Linked DNA regions of Tamandua tetradactyla. The protein of the gene in region 1 interacts with the protein of each later gene in a pairwise test. Links are inferred from orthologs where the notes say so. Each region holds a gene or a part of one and is shown on either strand. Other genes may lie near its edges.

Region 1 (9,510 bases):
CCTCTAGCAGGGTCACTGCCATTGCTCCCGCTTCCTCAGGGCTGCTCTAACACAGGAGCAGGAATGAGCCTGTGCCAGGACTCACGAGGGCAGAACTGTCCCAGGATTCCACAGCCTAAACGCAAAGGGGTGAGAGCACTGTGAAACTCCCAGCCCCACCCTGGCCCCCCACATGGACTCAGGCCCCCCACACTTGCAGAGCTCCTGCAGTCACTGTGTGGAGAGATCTCCCCAGGCAAATCTGCCCCCACCCCACCCCTCCCTGCCGACCTGCTGCTGCTGTGGGCTCCTCCTCCAAGTCCAGGGACTCTGCTGGAGAGCTACCACTGCCTGCCCGGAAAGGTCAGTATAAGGAGGCGTGGCCTGCCACCCAAGGCCGCTGGCAGAGCCTTCTAAGCAGATGAGGGCAGGAAAATGCCCCTCTCCTGGGCTGGGTGCCACTGCGGCCCAAGTGGCCTAGGCAAGGCTGGAGGAAGCAGATGCAGCCCCCCCACTCCCTCAGGAAACGCCCAGCAGATGAAAAAGATGGCCGGAGCGCTGCGCTGTGAGCTGCGAGAGGGGATGAGAGGCTGCAGTGTTGCCATGGCTACGGGGAACTACGTAGACCCTGAGTTTCCATTGCAGAAGGGTCTGGTGGTCGGCTCAAGGCCTCTGAGGAACAACAAGCGATGCTACCGGCCTTGGAGCACTCTATCAACCAGTGGGCTGCTGCAGGGGGGTGAGCTGGGCGAGGACTGTGCCCTAAAAAAACACCAGAGCTGACGGTTTCAGATGGTGTGGAAGCTGTGGTCAGAGGAAGAAAAGAAGCCCAGACAGGGTGCCCAGTGCTTCACAGCCCTCAGCCTAGTTGTGACCAGAGCCAACACAAGCCCCTCCAGATAGAGGCCACATCGCAGGTCCTCACCCTCCTCCCAGGAGGTCCAATAGGGCCCAGCACCCAGCACCTAGCACCCTGCTCGTACCCTAGTTCTGTCCAGTCAAGCAGTTCCTGGCCAGGGGCAGTGGGTCCTGCCGCACAGGAGCTGTGGATAACAATGCAGAGCTGCTTTACTCTGCCTCTGCCCAGATGCCACCGTGCTGATCCCCGTGTGCCAAGACATCCACCAAGACCCTGGATACAAGACCCAGGGTACAAGAAACTCCTCAATTGGGCGCTGCTGCTGGCACCAACAGGCTCCTAAGTGAGGCTATGGCCACATCCACCATGCCCTCTACCCTCACCCCGGCACCCACCCCTCATACACCTCGGACCACAATTGCTCATACTCCCAACACTCTGATTCCATGCGCAAATGCCCCTCATGCTCCTGCTCGCCCACCTGCTCACCTCCCCCATCTCACCCCCAAGTGCCCCCTTCCCACCTCACAGTCTCACCCCTCTGCCTACTCCCTCCCCTAGCTATCTGCCTACACTCCGAACCCTCCCACCTAATGATCTTGCCCTGGTGCGTTCACCCTCTCATCCCCACACCTACTCTCAAACCTCGGGGATCTCAACTTGACACCCCACCCCCACCCCCACCCCAGCTGACGCTGTCGCCCCTGCGCCCATCCCCCACCTGCACAATCTACCCCCACGCGCGTTCCCCATGCCTCCTGGTTCGCCCCATGACCTCCTGCTCTCACCCCCACATTCACCCTTTAACCTTCCTGATCTCCCCAGGAACTGCCCAGTCCCACCTCACTCTGTCTCCCCTATACCCATCTCCCTACCTCCACACCCTCCCACCTCAGGGTCTTAACCCTGTGCACTCGCCCCCTCACCTCCGTTCTCACCCCCTGCACCCACTCCCTCACCTCCGCGATCCTGCTTTGATGCTCCCGCCCAGCGCATTCTCTCATCTCCGTGCCCATCCCCCAACCGCCCGATCTGCCGCGTCTCCGTCTTGCCCCATGCACTAACCCCCACCCCTTACACTTTCACCCCCGCGATCCTCCTCGATGCCCCCCGCCCAGCTCACGCTCCCACCCCCCCAACCGCCGCTATCTGCCGCCACCCGCGCAGCCTCCCCCATCACGGTCTTACACCCATGTACTCGCCCCTACACTTTGCACTCTCACCCATGTGCACACTCCCTCACCTCCGCAATCTTTCATCGATGTGCCCTGCACAGCTTATACTCTCGCCCCCACGCCCATCCCCCAACCGCCGCCATCTGCCGCCACCCGTGCACCCTCCCCCATCGCGCGCTCACCCCCACACCCATCCCCCAACCACCGCCATGTGCCGCCACCCGCGCAGCCTCCCCCATCACGGTCTTACGCCCGTGTACTCGCCCCCACACCTTGCACTCTCACCCACGTGCACACTCCCTCACCTCCACAATCTTTCATCATGTACCTCACCCAGCGCAAGCTCTCACCCTTGCACCCACCGTCCGCTTCCTTGATGCACCCACATGTGCACCCTCCCACCTCATGGGCTTCCCCTGTGCACTCGGCCCCTCACCTTGCACTCTCACCCCCGCGCCCACACCCTTACCTCCGCGATTCTGCCTAGACGTGCCCTGCACAGCTCATACTCTCGCCCCCGCACCCACCCCCCAACCGCCGCCATCTGCCGCCACCCACGCACCCATCCCCCAATCGCCGCCATGTGCCGCCACCCGCGCACCCTCCCCCACCACGCTCGCCCCCGCGCCCATTCCCCCAACCGCCAGCCGCCATCTGCCGCCACCCGCAAACCCTCTCACCTCACGTTCTTACACACATATACTCGCCCCCATACCTTGCACTCTCACCCCCGCAATCTTTCCTCAATGTACTTCACCCAGCTCACGCTCTCACCCGGGCACCCATCCTCCACCTCCATGATGCCCCCACCCGCACACCCTCCCACCTCACACTCTTGTCGCTGACCACTCAGCCCCTCACCTCACTCACCCAGGCGCCCGCATCCTCACTTCCGCGATCCCGCCTCCACGTGCCCCACCCAGCTCACGCTCTCACCCCCGCGCCCATCTCCCAAACACCGCCACCTGCCGCCACCCGCGCACCCTCCCCCATTACACTCTCACCCTCGTGCCATCCACCAACCGCCGCCATCTGCCCCCACCCGCGCACCCTCCCCCATTACACTCTCACCCTCGTGCCATCCCCCAACCGCCGCCATCTGCCCCCACCCGCGCACCCTCCCACCTCACGGTCTTACGCCCGTGTACTCGCCCCCACACCTCGCGCTCTCGCCCCCGCACCCTGTAACCTTTGCGATCTCCCCTCGACGTAACCCCGCCCAGCTCACTGTCGGCCCGCCTCCGCCGCGTCCTGCCCCCACATCCGCACGCCCCCTCCCGCCTCCGCACGCCCCGCTGCCAGCGCACCGCCCCCCTCTCGCCCCCGCCCCCTCTCGCCCCCGCCTACCCCACGCACTGAGTCGCCGCCTCACGGTCTTGCCCCCATCCTTCTCGCCCTCTGTCGCGCGGGGCCCACCCCACCGCCTCCACGATGTCGACTCCACGCGCACCCTCCCTCTTCACGGTCTCGCCCTTGCCATGTAGCCCCACTCTCACGCTCTCGCGCCCAGGAGCCCACCCCTGCACCCCCGCGACCTCCCCCCATGCGTGCAGCCCCTCACTCAGGCCCCTGCCACAGCGTCCACCACCTCCCACCCCAGGTTCTCTCCCACACTCGCTCCCCCACCCCCACCCCCTTCACGCCCACCCTGGGGCCCAGCAACCCCGTCCCCCGAGGACCGTCTCCCCACGTGCAGGTTGGCGGACACCGGGCGGAGAGAGACCCGGGCGCCCTGGCCTGCCCGCGAGGGGGCTCGGGGCAGGTTCGGGGTGGCCCGAGGTCCAGGAACACCCAGGGCGGCCGAGGCCCGCGCATGCTGCGCGCTGTCAGGGTGCGGGCCCATCTTAGCGGGAACCCGCTGCCTGGGGACCCTGCGGTCACCCGCCCCGGGGATGCCCGGTGGGGACGGAAGGCGAATATGGGACGGGGAATAGGGTTTCCCTTGCGACCACAGGGCCGCCAGGACACCGGGGGACCCGCACCTTACCCGTCGGAGACGCCTGAGGAGCGGAGCCCCCGCGGGCCGCCGCCACCTCTCGTCCGCCGCCGCAGTGCAGTGTGGGCCGCCAGTGGGTGGAGTGTTAAGGGGAGCCGCGTGATGGCCCCCCGCGGAGCTGCACACGGCCCGCTCGCGGCTGCGCCCTGAAGCCTGCACGCCTCGAGGTGGGGGTGGGGGAACCGAAGTCCCGCCCTGTCACCCCTCTACCCCCCCACCCCGCACGGCAGCCCACCCAGAAGCCAGCCTGGGCCACGTGGTGCCCCCACCCCCCACCCCCCCCCGCCAGCAGCTCACAGTGCCGGCCGGCCTGTCCCCCGCCAGTCCATCCCCACCCCACCCCCACCCCCCTACCCCACCCCACCCCCACCCCACCCCACCCCCCTACCCCACCCCACCCCCACCCCCCTACCCCCACCCCGCTACCCCACCCCCCTACCCCCACCCCGCTACCCCACCCCCCTACCCCCACCCCGCTACCCCACCCCCCTACCCCCACCCCGCCCCACCCCACCCCCCTACCCCACCCCACCCCACCCCCCTACCCCACCCCATGCGGTCGGCCCCTAGGAGCCCGCCAAGCCACGTGTCCCGCGAGCCCCAGCAGCCATTGCGGGACCCGAGGGCAGGTGCCGCTCCCCATTGGCCGGACACTGTGGCGCGACAGCCACCCACGCCCTCCTCATTTCCATATTGCGGCCGGGCGCAGAGGGAAAGCAAGGCTTGGCGCCTTTTTTGCCTTTAGGCGGGGTGGGGTGGGCGTGCTTTGGGGGGGAGGTGAGGCATGGCGAGAAACGGGGATCCGCCCCACCCCGAAATAGAAAACTATCAAAAGACTCCTAATCCTCGTTTTTCTCTCGCTTTCAGGACCAAGTATTACCCAGCTAGACCCAAATGAATTCTCGCCCTTTCTTAAAGGAACGTTTTCTCCAGACTGAAGAGGTTTGCTCTGAGGCAGAGGCGTGGTGGGGGAGGGGTGTTCTGGAAAGTTCCTTGACTCCGATGCTGCAGGTGCCTGACCATGCCTTGGGTCGTGAGGCTCTAAAAGCCTGTTTTTACTTTTCAGGGCCAGATGATGTGACCCTTTGGTGACATAGTAGATTTCTTTACCCTTATTTGCTAAAGGTACACACACACAAAAGAAAAAAAAACACCCCCAGACGGTTTCATGATTGTTCTATAAAAAAAAAAATCCTAAAAACAAAGCAAATTTCAATAAAAAGTCACTGAGTGAGATGTTTGCAGTGCACAGCATATTCCCCTTTAACTGCAGAAGACTCCCTCAGTGTGCCTTACCTCCTAAGAATAGGCAGATTTGTTCAATCAGTCTCCTTGGCTGGAGGAGCAAACAAGGCTAACTGGTGCTGCTGGGGTGTTACACTCCCGTTGGGATGTTTTATTCGGGGGGGGGGGTTGTTTTACCCGGGGCGGTGGGCGGATTCTCAGATCACTGTCCAGTGTCCTGACTCCCACTGGCCTCGTGGACACTGCTAGTTCTGCCTGCCAGACCTGTACTTCCCCTCACAATGGCTGGGGTGTTAACTTCATAACTCTTCCTTCCTTTTAAAAAGCAATTTATCAAGGATAATTAATAGGCAGTAAAACACATCCATTTTAAGTTTAGAGTCTGGGCACCACCCCAGTCAAGACCAAGAAATGTCTCCATTACCCCAAATGGATGCATACCGTGTGATTCCACTTGTGTAGAACTCTTGAAAATGCAAACTGATCTGCAGTGACAAGAAACCAGATCGGAGAATGCAGAGATAGGGACAGGGACGGGAAGGCAGGGGTATCACAAAGGGGTACCCAGAAAGTTTGGGGGGTGACAGATGTGCTCACTCTTAATTGCAGTGATGGTTTCACGGATGCCAAAACTCATCCAAGCGTGCACTTGAGACGTGGTTTATTGTGTGCCAATTATAACCCCAGTAAAGCTATTAAAACATAAATGTACAAAGAGTATTCTCAGGAAAGGCCTGGTGTCCAGGCTCTCACAGGGAGTGAGCTCCAGTAGCCGGAGGAAGCTTTAGAGCAGAGATGTATGCATTCCCAGGCACATGTGGGAGCTGAAGGTCTCCCCAGGGGTGGAAATAGCACCAGCCGCCCTGGGAAAAGTGTGGCATGAAGAAGGGGTCCACAGAAGGCCTTCGCAGAGGGAGTCCAAAGCCAGGAGGTGTGCAGGGTGCAGGCAGGAGGTGTTCACAGACAGAGCACTCAGCAGGGGACTCCTTCCCTAGCAGATGTGTGCTGGACAGCATGGACGAGCTGGGTGAAGCAGCACTGACAGACTTAGAGGCAGGTGCCAGGGAGGTAGGGCCACTTTCGAGCAGGAAGGGCTCAGATAATCAGTGACTTCCACAATCCCTACCAGGCCGGGGGGACTGAGGGGCAGGGAGGCTGTTGCAGGCTTTGGGGAAATCCGAAAGTAAATAAGTGGTTCCCAGGCCCCAAGATGCAATGGTCCCAGCTACCTGCAGGACTGTCAGGGCTGATTGCCAGGAGGTTGCCGGGAAGCTGCTGGAAAAGTCTGCGTGTGATTTCTTTGGATGCCCCATACTAGCGTGCTACCAGAAAATGAGGGCTTCGCTGCTGTCCCAATGTGGCATGAATGCCTCTCCCTGGGGAAGGGAACGCAGAGCCAGTGTGGTGAAGGAACCTGGGACCTGAGGTTCCCAGGCCTCTGCTTTACACAAAAGGGCAGGGACGAGCAGAGCTGAGAAAGCCAAGCCAGCCAGCCCTCCCTTCCCGCTCAGCATCCGTCACATTCTCCCACCCACATTCATCTCCCAGGTGATGACCACGGTGACATTATGCCTCCGCTCGGCGGGGCGTGACCAGCCCTCAGGTAGGTGAACACACCCTCACCCTCTCTCCAGAAAAGGGGGAGTCCGAGGTCCCATTAGGCAAATTCTCATTCTCTGGCCCAATTGTGAGGTCAATTACCACCAAGATAAATTAACCACGGGATTAGAAAAGGAAAGTAAGAAGGAACAAAGGAGTTAAGATACTCAAAAGCGTGACAAAATGCACAGAGCTTCTCTAGCTCTTATTTCTGCAGCTGGCCCTGAGGTGTAGCCAATCTTTAGAATTTCCTCCTTCTGCGAACCTTCCAAGGACCCCTGTCCTCACCCAGCTGGCTGTGGCTGCCTTAACTTCCCATTCAGTGGGACCGGCGCAGGGTCCCCTGGTGGAAGCATTCCTCCCTTGGAAACTAAGTCTGCCGGACCAGCAGAGCCCCAAATTGCAGGGATGGGAAACAAATATTTTGTTAGTGGACCAGGAACACAATACTGAACGGAGCCACTCCCACTTCTGCCCCTCAGTTTCTGGACCCAGCCATTCTGGCATCTGCCAAAACCAGTGGGCAGTACTCCACCCTGCCCCAAAGGCTGGCCATCCCTTTAGCATCCCAACTGAGTCTTCAAAGGCTGCTCCATCACACCCGCTGCCCTTCGGTGGGGGAAGACCAGTGAACTCTACCAGCCAAGGGCCTTTCCTTCCTTCCTTCCTCATGCGCATTCTTCCCACGGCTCCTGGGATGCCAGATTCTTGCGGCTCCCCTCCTCCTTCACTGGTCCTTCCTCTCTTTGGGGTTTCCAGCTGCTCCTCTGCTTGGTGGCCCCCAGGACTCAGCCCCACTAGGCATGGCACCGACTGGTCCCTCTGCCTGGAAACCTCTTCCCTCCAGGTCCCTGTACCAGTGGCTGCTTCTCATCATTCTGCCTTCAGGACAAATTTCCTCACCTGAGATTCCTCCCCCTCTCATCTAAAGTCACCAATGCAGCTGCTCTCTCGCTCTGTGCTGCCTGACAGAGCTTTCTGCAAGGATGCAGATGAACTGTCCCATAGGGTAGCTGCCAGCCTCACGTGGCCACCAAGCGCTTGAAACGTGGGGAGTGCAATGAGGCACTGAATTGTTAAATTGGATTCTAACTCATTTATGCTTACGTTTCAACTGCCTCGTGGGGCACATGGCAGCCAGGGCAAAACGGCACAGCTCCAGCCCGTCATGGTCATAAATGATCTCACTTATTTTTGTCAGCAGCATTTATCAAGTGCCTGCTTGATGCCGGGCATAATGCCAGGTACTGACGTGGGAAAGAGGCGTGAGCCAAATAACAAAAATCCCATGCAGAAGAATTACTGATTGTACATGTAGATTGGAATGATTTCTAATTGTTTTGTTAATTCTTTTTTTAATTAATAAAAAAAAAAAATCCCATGCAGAGGTTGCATTTGAGTAGGGAAAGACAAACCATGAACAAGATGGCCATGTGAACAGAGGAAGCTAAAAGGGGTCTAAGGAGAGCTGAGGAGTGGGTGCAATTCTGCACAGAGTGGTCCAGGGGGCCTCAGGGAGCCAGCCCGGTGGGCATCTTCAGGCAGAGGGGAGAACAATGCAATGCCCTGAGGCAGGAGGATGCCTAGAATGGAGGGGGGGGGCGGGGGGATTGGGGGAGGAGGGGTGGGACTCAGAGAGGTGACAGGTGCCGGAGCAGACAGGGAGGGCTTGGACTTGGACTCCAGGGAAAATGGAGCCCAGGAGAAGATTTGGAGCAAAAGAGGGGTGCGATCCGACTTGAGTCGAAACCATGCACTCCGGTGGCCATGCCGAAATAGCTTGGGTATGGGGCACGAGGACAGAGGCAAGAAGACAGGGTGGGTCACTCTGATCATTTAGGCAAGAGGAGACAGTGAGAAACGCGCAGCTTCCGGATGTGTGCGGCAGGGAAGGCAGGACAGTGTTGGAAGCCTAGCGGAGGAGCCATCAGTTCTGCCAAATGCTGCTGCTGGAGTGAGGAGACGGGGCTGAGGCTCGACCATCGGGTCTAGCAACGTGGTGCAGGTGAAAGCCTGGCAGGACCAGGCTCCGGAGGACGGGGAAATGGGGAGGAGGGGAATGAGCTGCGTGTGCATTTATTGCCTGCCTCCCACCCTTATCTTGAAGAGTGGCATCGAACCTAGGATAGCGCGGGGCCCACAGTAGGTGCTCAGGAAATATCGAAATGATTCAATGGATGAACCAGCAACTCTTCCTCATCCTTGGGGTTTCAGCTCAGAGATCACTTGTTCCGTAACCCTGTGAATCCCAAGTGCGTGACTCTTCCCCGGACTCGTATGGCAGGTACTAGCAGATGGGCTTGTTCCCACGTCTTTCTCCTCACTAGACAGGTGCTCCCAGAGAGCCTGGGCTGTGTCTGTCTTGCTCCTCTGTGTCCCAGCACTTTTCAGGGACTCAATAAATGTATGCTGAACAGGGAATGGATGAGTTGCCTTGGAATGGAGCCCAGCGTAGGGCCCTATGAAAGGGGCTGGGAGATGGCCTCCTGTTTCTGCAAACTCCTACAAATACATTTCATTACTTTGGGAGAGGTTCCCTCACCACCCAGACCTGAGTGGGCTCCCAGATCGTGGCCATCTTTCCCTGCCCTGCATGTTTCATCCAGACCACTGAGCATGCTGGCATTTCACTCACTGTGGGATTCTGAGCTCTACAG
Region 2 (10,565 bases), on another chromosome or scaffold:
ATTAGCTCAAACTACATACGGTAGCTATACTGTTGTCTGTTTAATTCAAAAGTAGTTTGATATTCATCATCTTTGATTTTTAAAAATCTATTGCATTAGTTAGTCTAACCTCTCAGATCTATGGTAGCTAGAATGATGACCTGGACTACATGACTCTTTACTCTCTCAGGCTGTAAGAATCCTTAATAAAAAAGGAAAGAAGGGTCTAGGTCATCTGTTTCTGTGAAACCAAATGATCTGTACGTCCCTACTATTGTGACTTTATGAATAAAGAGTAACGTGTAGCTTTTCTGAGCTACTTACTCATAGTCATAAATAATCAAAGGTAAAAGCAAAAATATTCATACTGCCACAGGATAAAATACTTCATACAACGATTTTAACTTTGTAATGGTACTTGTACATAATTGTGTGAGGTGTGATATTTTATTACCTAAAGAACGTAATAATGTTTGTGGAAATCACTTTATCTTGGAACATTGGCTGTTATCACTGACTGTACTATAAAACTTTTTATGGAGAGCTGTACTTACTACCAAGTCCTACCCCAGACTAACTGAAACAAAATTGTTATGGGTAAGGCAAAGATCCCTTTTTAACAAGCTCCCCAGGTTTGGAGCAGCTAGAAGAAAAAGTGAAAAAATTGTGGAACTGTAACACACACCAAACTTTAAAATCTGTTGTATAACTCCTTGTTAAAATGTACTTGGAAATTTATTGCTTTTTTGTATATGTTATTTTTCACAGTTAAAAAAAAAGAAAAAAGAAATGCTCCCCAAGTGATTCTAATATTTTAACTCAATTAAGAACCTATGCTTCAGAAGAACAAAGGACCAAGGGAGTATTTCATCCTCTAAAATTAGAGAGAAAAAAAGCAATTTCACGAGGGAATGTTCAAGGTGTAAGAACTATATGGACTACATTAAATGATCAAAAATCAACAATGTAATTCTAACTTTAAACTCAAAAATTGGCCAGATTAAGACACAAAAGTGCTCCAAACTAGTTAGGTGGGTGGGTAGGGATGGAGGAAACACCATTTTCAGGGTTTTTTTTTTTCCCCAAGTATTTAGGAAAAAAGAATTATTTACTCTCATATTCCACCAGACCTATTTTCATAATATCTAAAAATTATATCAAAATTCCAAACCAGAAAACACTATTTGAAGTACAACCAGCAGTCATTCTGTGCATCAGCTTTATATTCACTGAGAATGTTAGACAAAAGGGTAAGGAGTAGACTTGGTAGATGATACAGGAAGAGCAGTTATACTTTAAAGGCTTTAACAGAACAGGGCAACATTAGTTTGGGGCCTCCTGCCTCCTGGCTGCCACAGCCAGTCTTCTACATCTCTAACTTTCATCTAATCAACATTATGGGATGCCTGATAAAGCTGTGGCACCAGGCAAACAAGAATGCTAACACTGATGAGTGCAAACTGCTAATGAACCTTAAAAAAAAATCTGAACTCTGTGAAAGAAAGGAAAGGATTATTCTTGGTTCACCAAAAAAAATAGACTACATTTCTGATAGGGAAAACTAAGGCATTCAAAGGACAAGAGAAAGCTGGGGGGAGAAAAAAGAGAGAAAGCTGGAAAACAGCAATGCTAGTATAGACCTAGAATACAGCACAGGCGTGAGTGATTATAACTTCTGTTGAACCAATACTTCCTCAGCTGCGGAACTACAGACATGTTAGTTACCCGCATGGGCTATTAAAACCCTGTGCTTAAAGGGTGTAGAGTTTTCAGAAGGAAGAAAAAGTCAATGCATCATCACTGATTTGTAATCAGAAAAGACACAAATTAGAAATAGCTGGTTAGCATTATACACATTTTCTTCTCCAGACAAGGTGAAATATACTAAACAAAGAATCCTGCTAGTAAAGGAAAAGCAGAGGTGTAAATAAATTCAAAATAAATTCCATCAGTAATCTGAAACAAATGTTTGCTTCAAACACTCTTTTCTCTTACTCTACTCTCCCTAAGCCGGTTCAGTAGCAGTATCTTTCCTATTCTTGAGAGAATAATATTGTTTTTCTTATTACTAATAGCTATTACTATTATATTATTTAAAATTATACAATAGCTACCACTACTATATGCAATGTCTTGCCCTAAGTGCTCTGTGTAAACTGTGTTTGAATCCTCACCTTGATCATATGTTATTTTTTTTTATGTGTTGCTTTTATTTCCACTATACTGATGAGGAAAACAGGCTTATGACACACAACTAGCAAATGGTATAAAGTAGGGATAAAAAAGTCAAGTCCAACTCCATAGCCTGTGCTGTTAACTATTAATATTGCTCTTAACATTGCTCTCTCAGACCTGCTCAAATTAAGTTCTGCTTGCAAAACACTGAAGTTCACATACTATTTGGAGTAAAGAAGCAGAAAGGGAGCACAGGAAGTGGTGGAGTAGTCTTTTATAAATTATCAAGAAAGCAACACCTGCAGTGCTTTCTTCAGACAAGGAAAAGTCTGGCAATAATACTTAAAAAACAAAAACCCAACAATTATTTTCCGGCTCACTTATAGCCGGAAAACAGACAAGTTTTTCTTTAACAAGATGGTTATTTACGGATCATAGTAAATAAATCACTTTGGTTCAGTGGTGGAGACGGCATGATGCAACATTTCCCAGCATAGCTCTCGCCAGGATATTTTATGACCAAGGCACTTGGGCCTCTCCTCTCCAGCTAGACAGCCTGGCTCCTTCTCATTCCCCTCAGGAGATAGGGTGGAAGTGCACAGCTCCACTTTCTAAGGCATACAGGGCAGCTGAAAGTCCTGCTTGGCCTCTCTGGGCAACCACAGGCGCCAATAAATCAGCCACAGGCAATTCTCTCATCCCCTTCCCTGCTTGAAGTGGTGGCAAGATATAATGCAAAAGAGCACTGACTGAACTTAGGAGATAAATGATCAAGCTTGAATTCTAGAGCAAATGACTGCATCATCACAGCCAGGTAAATCTCTTCGAGCCACTAGTTTCGTAATTTATAACATGGACACAGTACCAACACCTTTTTGGTAAAACTCAAAATCACCAGGAAAGCAGCTAGTATGGGAACTGGCCTACTGTAGGTACTGAATAAACAGTGACCCAACCTGAGCAGAATCTTCTTCCAAGTGAGAAATTTGGGGCAGGGCTGGGCAAAAAGGTGTAGCAGGACATGTGGGGCTCCTCCTCCCTCACTTGCTGCCCATCCCTAAGATGTTCCACTGTTTCCTGATTACCTCCCAGCCATTAGAATTAATCTATTCCATGTCCTATACCTCCAGTGTTCTGTTCTCTATTAGGAGCTAATGCTTGGTAATGGATTCATAATTTAGCCTTAACTAAAACATCCAGATTGCTAAAGAGATTTTGATGCCTTAACCTGACCAATATTGCAAATGTTGTTATTCTCACGGAGGTATAGGAGTAAAGTTTTGGCAGGATGGTTTTTCAGCTGGGAAATGCAGCATGGGCAGCCACTATCACCTAAACATAGTGCCAACCCCATTCCATAAAATAGTAGTGCCACCGCATACTAACAAAGCCTGATTTCTCAATAACCTGAACCAAATCAAGCCAAGTGTAATTATCTCTGGCAACTAGTCTCCACAGTGAGTGGGTGAAATTGGCACTGCAGTTCTGGTGTGGTGGAAAAGAGCAATGCCCAAGTCCTGCAATCTATGCTACTGAGAACTGTAGGACCTCCATGCTCTTTAGGCCTGATGTCTTCACCTCTAAAATGAAAGGGCTGAATTGGATTTTCTTTTAGACCCACTAAGCTGAAATACCTGATTCCAAGATGTACTTTATACACTTGACAAAATCCTGTGTAAGAATCAATAGCTCTACCAAAAGGACTTGAATCTCAACAGAATGAACTCCATATTTGACCCCTTGGGGAAAAACAGTCATTAATTTTTTCAATATGTTTTAAGCTGCTGTCAAGTTCAAGGTTCAGCGGTAGGTGCTACATAAGCAGCCTCACCACAGCGTCACCCAGAGGGAAGGCATAGATAGGGTAGGCTTCAAAAAGAAAACTTGGGTTTACTTAGAAGAAGACTAATAAAGTTTGAAAAATGAAAGATCTGAATTATAAGGAACCTTAAAAATTGGATAATCCCAAACTGGAGGGGAGTGTGCACGGGAGGAGCGGAATCCTCGCAGCCTACACCTGGAGACCCGTCCCTTGCAGGAGCCGTAGGCACTGCTCACCGGGGGACCTGCAGGCCCTTCCCGCGAGGGGGGTGCACTGGGGCCCGTGACAGAGAGATCCCTGTGCCTTGGTTGCGACCCCGCGCCTTGTCTATGCCTCCAGGGTCTGCAGGCTGCCCTAGGCAGGTAGCGAGGGTAGGTGCTGGGGCATCCTCGGCCCAGCGCTCACTCGCAACTGTCATTTTCCTCTCCTACTCTGACTGAAGTCTCAGATAAACCAAATACCCTTCTCCCCGCCTACTTGCATCAGTCCCGCGACCGGTCCAGCTGCAGGCCACCGCATCTGGCGGCTCGCGGCGGGAGGGACTGAGACCCAAGCAGGAAACAGAGGCTGGGTCGCGTCGCTTACCCAGACGCCGCCGCGGCGGCAGGCCGACTCCTCCGTACGGGAGGGGCGGGCATCCGCGCCGCGCACAGCACGCGGCGGCGCCGAATCACGCACTTCGCGGGTCGCTCTCGCGCGGCTTTCGGCACCGGCCGCCCCACTATCGTCCCACGTGACCGTGCGCCTGGTACCCGGAGAACGGCGGCCACTGGGGCCAGGGTGTGCGTGCGTGCGTACGTGCGCGCCCGCTGGCCTGAGTGACAGGGCGGGGGTTTGCACGCGCTTCGGACGCTGCTGTTGCCCCCACGGACCCCAGTCCTGACTTTCTAGGCGGAAGTGTGGGAACAAGCCTCAGCGTCACTGGCTCCTACACACAACCGCGTGACCCGGGGACTTTCCCCAGGGCGTGCAAAAGCACAGGCACCCTCTCATTTCTGGGGTGAGGGTGGGGGCTGGGAGGGATGCGCCCGCTCATTCGCTAGGAGAGGGGTTAGGGCAGGGAGCCAGGGAAGCTTAGCCGCGGGAGCCTGGAAGGGGAGGCGTGTTGGGCTGGGTGGGGCATGGCGGGGGAAGTGACTCAGGGCCAGAGGCGGACAGACCCATGGAAGGCAGGGTGGGGGGAGCGCAAAGAGTGGGCGACCCCAAACGGACTTGTCGCGGGAGGGACAGGGCGAGGGTGCCGGCGCCCCCGGAACAACAAGGGCTTATGGCGAGGGAGGGCCGAGCTGCTGGGCCCTATGGTGAAGGCGTTTGACATCTGGAGCAGTAGGAAAGCAGCATCCTGCCCTTGGGGAGTCGGGAGGAGTTCAGTCCCATCCAGCTGTGCAAACAAGAGGAGGTCCCAAGCCTACCCTTGGGAGAGGAGCGAGAGGGGTGGTCAAGCCGCCGCCACCGCGCCGGCCCCCGCGGTGCGGGTTGCGCCAGCCTCCCCGGAGCCCGACGCAGAAACTTGTTGCAACAAACAGGCGACCGCGGCTGCCCCTAGCAGCCAGCGGCGGAGTGGGTGGGCGGGCGAGAGGGAGGGGAAGGCTGGCGGACGCCGCAGCGAACTGGTGGGCAGACCCGGAGTCGCCGCGTAAGCGGGGCCGGCTCAGTGCGGTGCGGCAGGCGCGGCTGTGCGGCAGCGGAAGTCCTTTGTTGCAGCGCAGTCCCTGGCAGAGCCAGAGCCTCTCCGCGCAGCCAAGCCCGAGAGCCGCGCGCCGCCGCCACTGCAGCTCGCGGCCCCTTCGCCTCAGTCCGCCTTTCCCGCAGCTGGTTTGCCTTAAACTCCCTAAAATCTCTGCAGCCCTGGTTGTTGCTGCGGCCGGTGAGTATTTGCCAGTTGTGGGGCTATTTGCGCAACTTTGGATTGGGCCGGAGGGTGACGGCCGCGGGCCTGGAGGGGTGCTGGCCCCGAGCGGCGCCGGCCCTTGCGGGGAACTGGAGCGCGGCGGACGCGCGGTGAAGACCTGGCGAACGGCGGCTGCCGGGCCGCCTGTTCGATCCCGCTGCCCGCCGGTGCGACTGGTCAGGGGCATGCGGCCTTCCTGAGTCCAGTGCGAAGCCCCCGCGGAGACGAGTTCCCAAATTAGTTACCTTCTTTTACCTTTCTTTCTCTGCCTTTATTATTTTTTTTGAGGGGGGAGGGGAAGGGAGAGAAGGGGAGGTATAGACTGGAGGCGGGAGGACCTGGTTTGATTGACGTGCCCAGAGCCCGCTTCTCTGAGTTTACAGCTGCGGCTTCTCGGCGGGTGGGAGGGAAGTGTCCCGGAGCTGGAGGCCGCAGACTTGGGCGCGCTCCGAGGGAGGAGGCGTTAAGAGCTGCGCAGATTGCTCTTTCCCACCCCCTGTCGCCGGCACACACGGTTTTTGTCCAGTACAAAGTCTGGGGGTTGGGAATTTTCAGTGGAAAAGGTATGTTTCCTGGGGAGAAGGTGCTTTCGCTTCAAATGGGGCGGGGGGGGGCACTCACTAGAAGTTCCAAGCGTTTGGTGAATGTCTTGGATGTTTGTCGGAAGTTAACCCTAAAATGTGTAGGCATGAGCATGAGCTCAGCCACTCCTTCTCAGCCTCGCTTTCTACTTAAGCAACGCCTCTACAGGATCTGAAGGGTGGAGGTGACATTTTCCAAATTGGGAACCTCAAGGAGAGGATGATGAAAGTCCTTGATATTTTCAGGGCATGTGTATGTGCGTAATAATTTTAAATTGAGCTACACGCAATTCTCCATTGGTCTAAGTGTATTTCATAGTGTGTAAACCTCAGGAAAATTGTTCCAGAAGAGTTTTTCCCGTTGATACTCGAACCCAAGGAGCCGTCCAAGAACTTTTGAGGCATCTTTGAATCAGTTTCCTAAGCTGAAGTTTAACGCATTCAGGAACAGATTTTGTGAAGGATGCAGTTCTCATGATGACTTGAAAGCAGTCTCCTTTGAAAGGTAGAATTAGATTCTATGCCGTTTTTTGTGCAAATGGATACGATCTAGAGAAGTAGGGAGATCTGGGATGGATACAAAAAGAAGCTTGAATGATGGGTGCCCGTCATTTGCTCAGAACCTCAAGAACCTCACAGTTCTATTTAATCACTTTCTGGATATTAATAAAGTCTCAATAGCAATGACTTTGGGAACTAGATGGGGACTTCCTGTCCTAAACAGACAGCGGAAACTGAAGCGCAGGGAAGTGAAATAAATGCTTTTACAAAGATTAATAAAGTCTGCAGTAGAACCTTTGGTTAACATCTTATAATCTATTTTAAAAGCAGGATTTCTTGAAGACCAGAAGTTCATGGTGTAGAATAATTCAGGTTGAGCAGTCTTCAGATTCCTTTCTATTCTTCCCACCCTTAATATGATGGCCTACTTTTGGGGGGAAAGTGAGGGTACCCTGTGGTGCATCATTGTCAGAGAAAAGAGAAACCATATTTAGCCAGGACCATAGCCAGTGTCTCCCATGTGCCTTGCAGCAGCATCTCCCATTCACTTGTGTGGGAGAAAAGAAGCTGCTGCTTTCAGACTTTTCCCTCCCCAGCCAGAATAAGTGCTAAGCCTTTTCTGTTTAATCTTCTGAACCAAAGAGAAGGAAACCATTGAGTGGTATAAAAGCAGAAAATTTTTCATGGATTTTTATTTTTAAAATATAGCCTATCTTCCAAAACAAGTTGGGGTTTATTTGAGAAGCATCTGCTTGAGAGGTCACTTTCGTCTTTACAGGAGCTGCTTTTTCCTGATATTTTCTTGTGCTAAAATCTTTTAATGTAAAATAGTGATTTATCTTGTTGTTTGTTCATATACTCTTATGTAAACTAAATTAAAATTTATTTTTTTCTCAATGAAAATTTTAAATTATAAAACACATACTTTTAAATCAACCTACACATAAAATACAAAAATGAAACTCATTTTAACCCCTACTCCCCGAATCACTGTTAACAGTCAATTCCTTGTTTAAAAAGAGAGAAGGCAACATTTGATCACCCTGCCTAGGGCTGGCCTGTGGTAATTCATGGGTTTATATTCTCTGTTCACTACTCAGGTTGATGAGAATTGCCTGGTAGAGGAAAAGGGAGTGGTTTGCATTGGGCTTATTTAAAATTGTAGGATTAAAAAACAGACTTGAGAGTTTAAATATAACAGCGCTGCTGCTTTAGGTGTGTCCTCATGAAGTGTTTACTGTACCTCGGCAAGCCAGTTCTCATACTTTTAAATGATGTTAATGTTGCCCAGCCTCTAATAGGTTGATTTACACCAAGCTCATTAAAACAAAACAAAACCATCACATATGTAGACAGTTTTGAAATACATAGTTGGGAAAGGGTGGATGTACTTGCCATGAAAACCACTGCTGAGATATCCCTGTGCTGATAAGGGGAGGTGGGGTTCCTCCTGATCAGGACCAAATGTTGCATGCCAAACATTAAGCAAAGGACATTAGTGGAAAGAAAAATTTAAAAAATAAATATTTTTATTGAGAACTATCCACACACATACAGTCCAACCATATTATACAATCAGTGGCTCACAATATCATCACATAGTTGTGTTTCACTGTCATCATTTTTAGTACATTTACATCACTCCAGAAAAAGAAAGAAAAATTTTTTAAAAAACCTCATACATTCCATACCCTTCCCCCTCCCTCTCGTTGACCCACAGTATTTCAATCTACCCAATTTTTACCCTTTATCTCCCCCATCATTTATTTAGTTTTTAATCCTTACTTTTTTTATTCATCTGTCCATACCCTGGATAAAGGGAGCATCAGACACAAGGGTTTCACAATCACACAGTCACATTGTAAAAGCTATATAGTTATACAGTATTCTTCAAGAATGAAGTCTACTAGAACACAGTTAGTTCAACAGTTTCAGGTACTTCCTTCTAGCCTCTCCAATACACCATAAACTAAAAAGGGATATCTATATAGTGCTTAAGAATAACCTCCAGGATAATCTGACTATTTGAAATCTCTCAGCCAGAGACTTCATTTTGTCTCATTTCTCTCTTCCCTCTTTTGGTCAAGGTTTTCTTATTTCCATGATGCTGGGTCCTGGCTCATCCCCAGGAGTCAGGTCCCCATTGTCAGGGAAATTCACACCCCTGTGGGTCATGTCCCATGTAAGGGGGGAGGGCAGTGAGTTCATCTGCCAAGTTGGCTTAAAGAGAGAGGCCACATCTGAGCAACAGAAGAGGGGTGGGGGGATGGAGCCATGACTCTTAGGCATAATTATCAATAGACTTAGCCTCTCTTTCGCAGGAATAAGCTTCATAGGGGCAAGCCCCAAGATTGAGGGCTCAGTCTATGGGATTGGTTGTCCCTCTGTGAGCATATCAGGAATTCCCCAAATGGGGAATTTGAATATTTCCTCCTTTCTCCCAGTCCACCAAGGGGACTTTGCAAATACCTTTTTATTCAGAAAGAAGATTAATGACTACTGTTTAAGATGTGGCATGGAAGGGACTGATACTAGGGAGGGAGAGGAAGGGATCCAGATCTGTATGCCACTCATGTTTGTCATCTTGACATGTATTTAAGATATACTTCTAAGCGCGTTTATATTTTAGTATATAAGTGTATAGTCATTTATAAATTACAAGAGATCCTAGTCAAAATATAGAATGACTTATTTCTTAGCGGTGTATTCAAGACAAATGAGCTGTGAAGAAGTTGATGATATTCTGAAAACAAAGCCTTAAAACAGTACATAGAAATCTAATCACAACATTGGTTATTTCGGGGGTGTTGAGGACATGTGTGTTTTATTTTACACTACTCTTTGAATTTAAAATTGTTTATCAAAATAAAATTTGAAAGTTAAAGAATGAAATCACCAACCAGATTATCTATTAGTTGTCTATGTGAGATGCATACTTCTTAGAGATAAATGAAGAGCTCTGTCCTACTTTAAATCTTTAGTATTAGGGAATTGAATGCTGTGGGTGGACAGTGATAATTAGCAGACGGAAAGGGAAGATGGTGAAAGGAATAGACATTCTTTCTACAAGATGGGGTAGTATGAGAATGATGAGAGCTTTCAGATTCATGAAGAAGGATAACTGTAGGAGGCTTAGAATGTTCAGAAGGGACAGTTCAGTGGGTTGTCATTCATATCCATAAAGAGTGTTGACTCGTTTATAAAAACTACAGAGTTTGAATCTCAGCTTTTCTTACAAGATCAACAATCCTGGTCAAATCAGCCTCGGAGCCTCAGTTTTCTCTATCGCAAAATGAGGATAATTAAAATAACCTGATAGGATTAGTGTGAGTTTGTTGTATATGCTTTGTAGATTTTTGGCCACAATATAAAAGTTACCATGATTGAAATAATGCAAAGTTGGTAAGCAAATTAAAACTTAGCGGGCGGGCCGCGGTGGCTCAGCGGGCAAAGTGCTTGCCTGCTATGCCGGAGGACCTCGGTTCGATTCCCGGCCCCAGCCCATGTAACGAAAACGGAGAAACAAAATACAATAAAACAAGAAAATGTTTAAAAGATGTTTCCCTTTCTTCCTCTCTTCCTTCCTTCTATCCTTCCTTCCTTCTCTCTGTCTTTC

The links. The genes of interacting proteins can lie anywhere in the genome.
Region 2: the proteins of PNMA5 (region 1) and ZBTB25 interact in binary tests that used the Homo sapiens proteins (3 or more experiments, as listed by UniProt). The two-hybrid records come from large-scale screens. The link is inferred for Tamandua tetradactyla from reciprocal best matches to the Homo sapiens genes PNMA5 and ZBTB25.

What each region holds. Positions count from the first base shown.
Region 1 is NC_135353.1:4,735,527-4,745,036, reverse strand, and holds the start of PNMA5 (paraneoplastic antigen-like protein 5), read right to left. Parts: upstream 4,114-9,510; 5' UTR 4,001-4,113; intron 3,197-4,000; exon of another isoform or gene 3,174-3,196; intron 3,114-3,173; exon of another isoform or gene 3,085-3,113; intron 1,023-3,084; exon of another isoform or gene 963-1,022; intron 331-962; exon of another isoform or gene 271-330; intron 116-270; 5' UTR 23-115; coding exon 1-22.
Region 2 is NC_135338.1:21,759,483-21,770,047, forward strand, and holds the start of ZBTB25 (zinc finger and BTB domain-containing protein 25), read right to left. Parts: upstream 4,625-10,565; 5' UTR 4,615-4,624; coding exon 4,562-4,614; exon of another isoform or gene 4,454-4,561; intron 1-4,453. UniProt on the Homo sapiens protein: May be involved in transcriptional regulation.